Stegostoma tigrinum: one gene and its partner. The protein of the gene in region 1 interacts with the protein of each later gene in a pairwise test. Links are inferred from orthologs where the notes say so. Each region holds a gene or a part of one and is shown on either strand. Other genes may lie near its edges.

The links. The genes of interacting proteins can lie anywhere in the genome.
Region 2: the proteins of rnf5 (region 1) and ube2wb interact in binary tests that used the Homo sapiens proteins (3 or more experiments, as listed by UniProt). The link is inferred for Stegostoma tigrinum from reciprocal best matches to the Homo sapiens genes RNF5 and UBE2W.

Annotation. Positions count from the first base shown.
Region 1 is NC_081387.1:28,193,854-28,197,602, reverse strand, and holds the start of rnf5 (E3 ubiquitin-protein ligase RNF5), read right to left. Parts: upstream 2,513-3,749; 5' UTR 2,480-2,512; coding exon 2,328-2,479; intron 1-2,327. UniProt on the Homo sapiens protein: Membrane-bound E3 ubiquitin-protein ligase that mediates ubiquitination of target proteins. May function together with E2 ubiquitin-conjugating enzymes UBE2D1/UBCH5A and UBE2D2/UBC4.
Region 2 is NC_081358.1:26,385,368-26,389,116, reverse strand, and holds the start of ube2wb (probable ubiquitin-conjugating enzyme E2 W-B), read right to left. Parts: upstream 2,693-3,749; 5' UTR 2,663-2,692; coding exon 2,648-2,662; intron 1,588-2,647; coding exon 1,496-1,587; intron 1-1,495. UniProt on the Homo sapiens protein: Accepts ubiquitin from the E1 complex and catalyzes its covalent attachment to other proteins.

The DNA of each region.
Region 1 (3,749 bases):
GCAATTGAGAGGAAACCTCTATACCCAGACAGTAATGAAAATGTGCAAAGTCCTGCTGGGAGGGTCAAACTGATGAGCGCAGGAGCAGAGGGCCCTGGTGTGTACGTGCAGAGATTGTTAAAGTGGGAGGTCAGGGGAAGAGACGAGTTACAGCGGTAAGCTGATCATTAACAAGGGCCTCAGTTGGCTGTCCCACATCACCAGGAAGATGTGAATACATCAGAGACAGAACAAAAACAATTTACAACAATAGTTCCAGGGATGGGTAACATCAGCGATGAGGACAGGTTGGGGAAGTTGGGGCTGCTCTCTTTGGGAGATCTGACAGAAATCCCCAAGTGGGGTCTGGACAGGGTGGAGTGGTAGAAGTTGCTGAGAACAGCACAGTGTGGTGGGTGATGCTCCCCACTGGATCTATCACATTAGAGGTGCCCCCAAACCTGCACAGACTCCGACACCGGTTCCTGAGGGCCCTGCAAGACCCAGGCACCCTGTTACCAGCCAAGCACAGTACCCACCACCCCCGCCACCCTCCAACCCCACGGCTCGGGCACGGTCGCCCCACCTCCAACCCCATGTTCCGGACAAAATGCCCCCCAACCCCATGTCCCAGACAAACTGTCATCTCTCAGACGTCTCCACAACCCAAGTCACCCCTCCCCCCACTGAGATCCAGACAAACCCCTCCCCCAGACTCCACCCCCCCCGACCCATTGCCACCCTGCCGCCCGCCCCCCCCACCCAACCCCCGCCCCCGCCCACACAGCCCCCGGACGCCGCCCGCCGCCACCCAACCCCCGCCCACACAGCCCCCGGACGCCGCCCGCCCCCCCCGCCCAGCCCCCAGACCTCTCCGCCCCCCGCCCCCCACCCACACAGCCCCCAGACCCCTGCCGCCCCCCACCCACACAACCCTGCCGCCCCCCCACCCACACAGCCCCCACGCCCCTGCCGCCCCCCCCCCGCCCCCACCCACACAGCCCCACACGCCCCTTGCCGCCCCCCCCGCCCCCCCACCCACACAGCCCCCACGCCCCTGCCGCCCCCGCCCACCCACCCACACAGCCCCCACGCCCCTCCCACGCCTCTGCCCCCCCGCCCCCCACCCACACAGCCCCCACGCCCCTGCCGCCCCCGCCCACCCACCCACACAGCCCCCACGCCCCTCCCACGCCTCTGCCCCCCCGCCCCCCACCACACAGCCCCCACGCCCCTGCCGCCCCCGCCCACCCACCACACAGCCCCCACGCCCCTCCCACGCCCCTGCCGCCCCCGCCCCACCCACCCACACAGCCCCCACGCCCCTCCCACGCCTCTGCCCCCCCGCCCCCCACCCACACAGCACCCACGCCTCTGCCCCCCCGCCCCCCACCCACACAGCCCCCACGCCCTCTGCCCCCCCGCCCCCCACCCACACAGCCCCCACGCCCCTGCCGCCCCCGCCCACCCACCCACACAGCCCCACGCCCCTGCCGCCCCCCGCCCACCCACCCACACAGCCCCACGCCCCTGCCGCCCCCGCCCACCCACCCACACAGCCCCCACGCCCCTCCCGCCCCCGCCCACCCACCCCACACAGCCCCCACGCCCCTCCCACGCCACAGCCCCCCCGCCCCCCACCCACACGCCCCCCACCCCGCCACCAGCCCCCCGCCCCCCACCCACACGCCCCCCCACCCCGCCACAGCCCCCCCGCCCCCCACCCACACGCCCCCCACCCCGCCACAGCCCCCCCGCCCCCCACCCACAGCCCCCCCCGCCCCCCACCCACACGCCCCCACCCCCCCACAGACCCCTGCCACCCCCCCGCCCCCCACCCCCCCACAGACCCCTGCCACCCCCCCGCCCCCCACCCCCCACAGACCCCCGCCACCCCGCCGCAGACCCCCGCCGCCACCCCGCCCCCCGCCGCCCCCCCGCAGACCCCGCCGCCACCCCCGCCCCCCGCCGCCCCCCCGCAGACCCCGCCGCCCCCCCGCCCCCCCCCCGCAGGCCCCCGCCACCCCCCACCCCGCCCCCACCCCCCCACCCCCCCCGCCCCCCCCCCACCCCCACCCCCCCCACCCCCCACCCCCCACCCCCACCCCCCACCCCCCACAGACCCCTGCCACCCCCCCCACCCCCCACAGACCCCTGCCACCCCCCCCGCCCCCCACAGACCCCTGCCACCCCCCCGCCCCCCACCCACACAGCCCCCTGCCACCCCCCGCCCCCCACCCACACAGCCCCCTGCCACCCCCCCGCCCCCCACCCACACAGCCCCCTGCCACCCCCCCGCCCCCCACCCACACAGCCCCAGACCCCTGTCCTCCCCCCCTCTCTCTGACCAGTATAAATGGCCGCAGAGGCTGATGACCGCGTCCCTGGCGGTGTCCAGGCAGATGTTACACTCGAAGCTGCCCTTGTCGGCCTGGGCCTGCCCCGGCCGCTCCTCTCCCGCCGCCGCCGCCCTCTCGCTGCCCTCAGCCGCGGCCGCCATGACTGAACAAACACCACACTACCGCAGGTCCCGCCCCCTTCCTAACGGCCCGCCTTCTTAGGGGCGGACCCAGCGCGGACAGCGGTATTTATTGGGCTGGTCTGCCGTCGATCACTGGCTCTGGGCGGGAGCTGCCGCGGGATGCACGGTTCCCATTGGACATATTGTCGTCAATCAACGTTCGTTTCAAACACGCGGCCAATATCGATGTATGACTGGATCATATTCCAGTCAATCAGGTCTCGGGAGGCGGGGAAAGGTAGTTACGGGCTCCCATTGGATATCGCTACGGTCATGGTGTGCGCCAGGACCGGGTCACACCTCGACTATGAGCTCCCTTCAACAGGCTGCTGTCAATCATCGTCTGATTAATCTACATGGCCGTTATTCGCCATCTGATTCGGCTACACCGCCGTCAATCAGCCAGGCGGAAGCGGTTGTCGCTAGACCCCGGCTCCCATTGGATGGTATACCGCCCCGGGGCGGGTCACCGATAGACGTCGGCTCCAAATTGACTTAAACGTCGTCAATCAACAAACCCCGACTCCCATTGGACCAAGCCCCGTCGGTCACTATCTTATTGGTCAATGTAGCCGTCCATCACCTTCCGCCCTCTTATTTTTCTTCTTGCCATTGGTTGGGATTGTTGTCGATCGTAGCTCTCGGTGAATGATTGGTTGGAATTCTGACGGCAGCGGGAAGGACACCGGTCGGCGATCCGCCCAGCTCCCAGGTTCCGGGACTGAGGTAACACGGTGTGGAGCTGGGTGAACCCAGCAGCAGCAGCAGCAGCATCATCCTCCGACACTTCCGCCATTTACAATCCAACCCCACCACCCAAGACATTTTTCCATCCCCACCCCTGTCTGTTTTCCGGAGAGACCACTCTCTCCGTGACTCCCTTGTTTGCTCCACACTGCCCTCCAACCCCACGACACCCGGCACCTTCCCCTGCAACTGCAGGAAACGCTACACTTGCCCCCACACCTCCTCCCTCACCCCTATCCCAGGCCCCAAGATGACTTTCCATATTAAGCAGAGGTTCACCTGCACATCTGCCAATGTGGTATACTGCATCCACTGTACCCGGTGTGGCTACCTCTACATTGGGGAAACCAAGCGGAGGCTTGGGGACCGCTTTGCAGAACACCTCCGCTCAGTTTGCAACAAACAACTGCACCTCCCAGTCGCAAACCATTTCCACTCCCCCCCCCCATTCTTTAGATGACATGTCCAACATGGGCCTCCTGCACTGCCACAATGATGCCAC
Region 2 (3,749 bases), on another chromosome or scaffold:
TTGGGCTGAAATCCTTCATCAGGGGAGGGAGGCCAGAAAAAAATGTGGGGGAAGGCTGGAGGGAAGCTAGGTGAGATGGAGATAGGTGGATGCAGGTAGTTAGTGAGTAGGAAGATGAAAATGTTGGGGATGGAGAGATTTTGATGGTGGTGATGCAAGTAGGGGTTATTGTGGTTGGTCAGTGGGAAGCGTGGAGCCGACACGTGTCAGAAGATGGACGAGTGGGGGGGGGGGGGGGGGGGGAGAAACGAGGAGAGATGGACAATTGGTTGGCGTGAGGAGAGATGGGCAAGTGGGGTGAGGTATGAGGAGATTTAAACATTCAGATTAAATGTATGCATCATACTTCTACAAAGTTTCTTAATAAACAAGATTATAATTCAATTCCTTTCGTTGTGAATTAACTGAGTTAAATGCAGTACACATTCTATAAACCTGCACAATGCTACATATTGCAAGCGATCATTTACAGGACTAATCTTCTTGCAAATCAAATTTTTTTTAAAAGAAACACATGATTCCATTGCATCATTCTGTATATTTCACTTACACATTCAACTCATTACATACAGCAAGTATGAAACTGAAACTGGTCAGACATCAGAGGAACCAGGTAAAATAAGTAAGTGTGTTCATACATGCAGAGACTTTATAAGTTGTTACGCTGAAAATATATACAATTCAAAACTATTTGATACTGTGAAAAATTAAACAATGAAGGTACGTACAAATATTAAGAACAGAAACATTTCAGAGTTACTGCTATTAATAGTCAGACATTGTTAACTCCCTAAGTCAAGATAAACACACGCAATGTATACCATAGGATATAAGACAATGCTCATTATACTGCAAAAACACTGACAGTATATAACTAATTCAGTAAACAAACAATCACCACATTAAAACTACTTAAGTGTCAGTCATATCTCATAGTACAATAGATTCAGAAACAATCCACCAGTTCTTGTAGTGTCCTCAAATTTCCAGTAATATATTCAAAGCCAACATTCTTAAAACAAGCTATTATTGCAAACTTAGCTTTTGAGCTGTTATACTTCTATTATTTATATGCACCTTAAAAAAACTACTCCACACGATATACATCCAGCAAATTCCATTAAAATATACACACTGTACAATCATACTACATCAACTTATTTACAAAACATGATTAGTCCAACGATCATCTTGTAACCTGAAATACACCTTCTTAGAAACAATGCAATCATGTGGATGATCAGCCATGATCATAATGAATGGTGGTGCTGGCTCGAAGGGCCGAATAGCCTACTCCAGTACCTATTGTCTATTGTCTAATACAAGTTGTTTAACAGAGCGCACAAATCCTGTCCATATCCTGATAACTAAATAGCAATGACACTAGAAAATAATCTTTGATTCTAGTAAAACTGCCAGTAATTTTAAAAACTCTACCTGCCTTATACTGGCTTTTCACATTTTAAAATTAACATTAAAATATTAAAGTACATACTGCGTTATTGAATTTTGTACACTCTTCTCATTTAAAGTCATTCCTGGGGGTGGGTCATTTTGCAAAGCCATTAGCTCCTTCTGTAACCTTTTCTATTAGAGAAAACAGAACAGTTAGAAAAAATGGGTTACTGTAATATTAGGTAAACTGGTGTATAATTTTCCAAATTGTAATTATCCCCAATTCTGTGAAGGTTTGCTTCCAATTGATTTTCACTTTAAAATTGACATATTTGAATGCAGTTGTGTAAAAATTCTGAAGTGTAAATTTTTTGCCTAATTTCATACCTTCCCAAATTAATACTGTAGTTATTTCCTTCACAAACTCAGCTAATCAGTACAATTGCAGGGCTAATACAAGCTTGACAGTTTTACATATATATGCACGAAAAAAAGTGCAGTAACTCGGCCAATCACATTTTTCAAGATGTGGATAACTATTAATAAAAATGGACGGCCTTTATTTACTGAACTGATGCAAGTTTTACCACGGAGGATGCGTACACAGATGAGGTGTTAGTCCACGTACTGTGTATTTAAACAAGTGGTCAGGCTTGATCCCCGACAGGATAAGCACACATCGGGGTGAGAACGTGGAAACGAGGAGCAAAGTTAAAGGTTCTGAAATTGAAGAAGCCCAACTCAAGTCATATAACGATTGCTGATGGCAGAGGTGACTCCTGAGCCCATTGCTGTTCCTGTGGTGGGCCTCGACAGGTGTCGCTGGCACCTATAACCTTCACAGGGCGCGATGATGCTGTTGCCATCACCTGGATGGAAAGAAACAAGGGGCAGGCGGAGAGATGGAGCCCAAGTCACCCCAACCACCACCCAGGGCTCAGGGATCGACATCCCACTCCATTAGGAATGCGCCCAAAACCCTCTGCACTTTTCACCGCCGCGGTTTTAAGAAGCCCGCAAATTTGTGAAAACGTACACAAACAATCGCGGGCCGCTCCACTCGGCTTCATCGTTTATCCGCTCCCCCCGACCCTCCAACCCCCCAACCCCAGCTGAAAAGACGAGATGCAGATACCGAGGAGGTCTTAGGGCCGGCTCTTCCCTCGAATGCGGAGAGAAACTGACACGGCCACCCCAGCAGGAAAGAGAGAAGGCGTCCACTGAAGCGCCGCCGAACACATCAGACACTCACCTGCATTGACGCCATGATGGAAACCCCCCCTTTTCCCCCCGCCCCCCTCCGTGCCAGAGACACCGCTCAACGGGATTGCGTCATGACGCACGCGGGGTCGGGCACGCACAGTTTCTCTCAAGCAATGTGGTCACGGCGTGCGCGCTTCCCGGGCATGAGACCGTTGGGAACTTCTCCGTGATTGCCTGACACCGAGGCGTGCGATGTTGGTGGAAGAGCGTCAAAACACGAAATAAAACGTTGACCTGCGGATGCTGGGAATCTGAAGTTACTGAAGAAAGTCAGCAGGTGTGGCAGAGAGAAAGCAGAGTTAATGTTCTGGGTCCAGAGAGCCCTGAGCTTTCCTCAGCTAGATTGGAAAAGGTGGGCTCCATCTCCACCCATCGCTTATTGCTTTACCCATGCAACTCCTATCTTCAACATACATACCACCCTCCCCTATAGTAGCCCATTGGCCAGTGTTCTCCATGCACTTCTCTAAATTGTCTATTGCGAAGAAAATTACCCAGGTTGGAAACACTCTGGACAGCTGTGCTACACTGTATTATGGGCAACTGTGCGGTCCAGCAGCACTTATGCCTGACTTCACGTTCTTTGGAAGACATTTTCCATGTGGTTGGTGAATGTGCAAAGTTGGACACGCACTGCAGAAACAGAATCGACATCAAAGATATTTTCGATCTTAAAGCACACAAACAAGTCGGTTGATAACTGGCTGTCCAATCTGAGATCCCGAAACGTCAGCTTTTATGCTCCTAAAATGCTGCTTGGCCTGCTGTGTTCATCCAGCTCCACACTTTGTTATCTCGGATTATCCAGCATCTGCAGTTCCCATTATCTCCAATCTGAGATCTTTTCCGTTCTGTGGAATGATCTTTCCCATACCCGACTCATTCATGAATTTAGTTGAGCTGAGTCAGCAGGCACAGGAATTCTGGTGCAATGTTGTCATCATATCATGTTGCTTTGCCACATTTCAGGCTCCTGAATGCTTTTCTAGTTCTGTGATTTTGTATGAATCAGGACTGCACTGTTCTGCTCATGTTGATTTTTAAGCCCATTATAGATTATGTGTTTTATATTCTTTTGCACTGACTCCCTC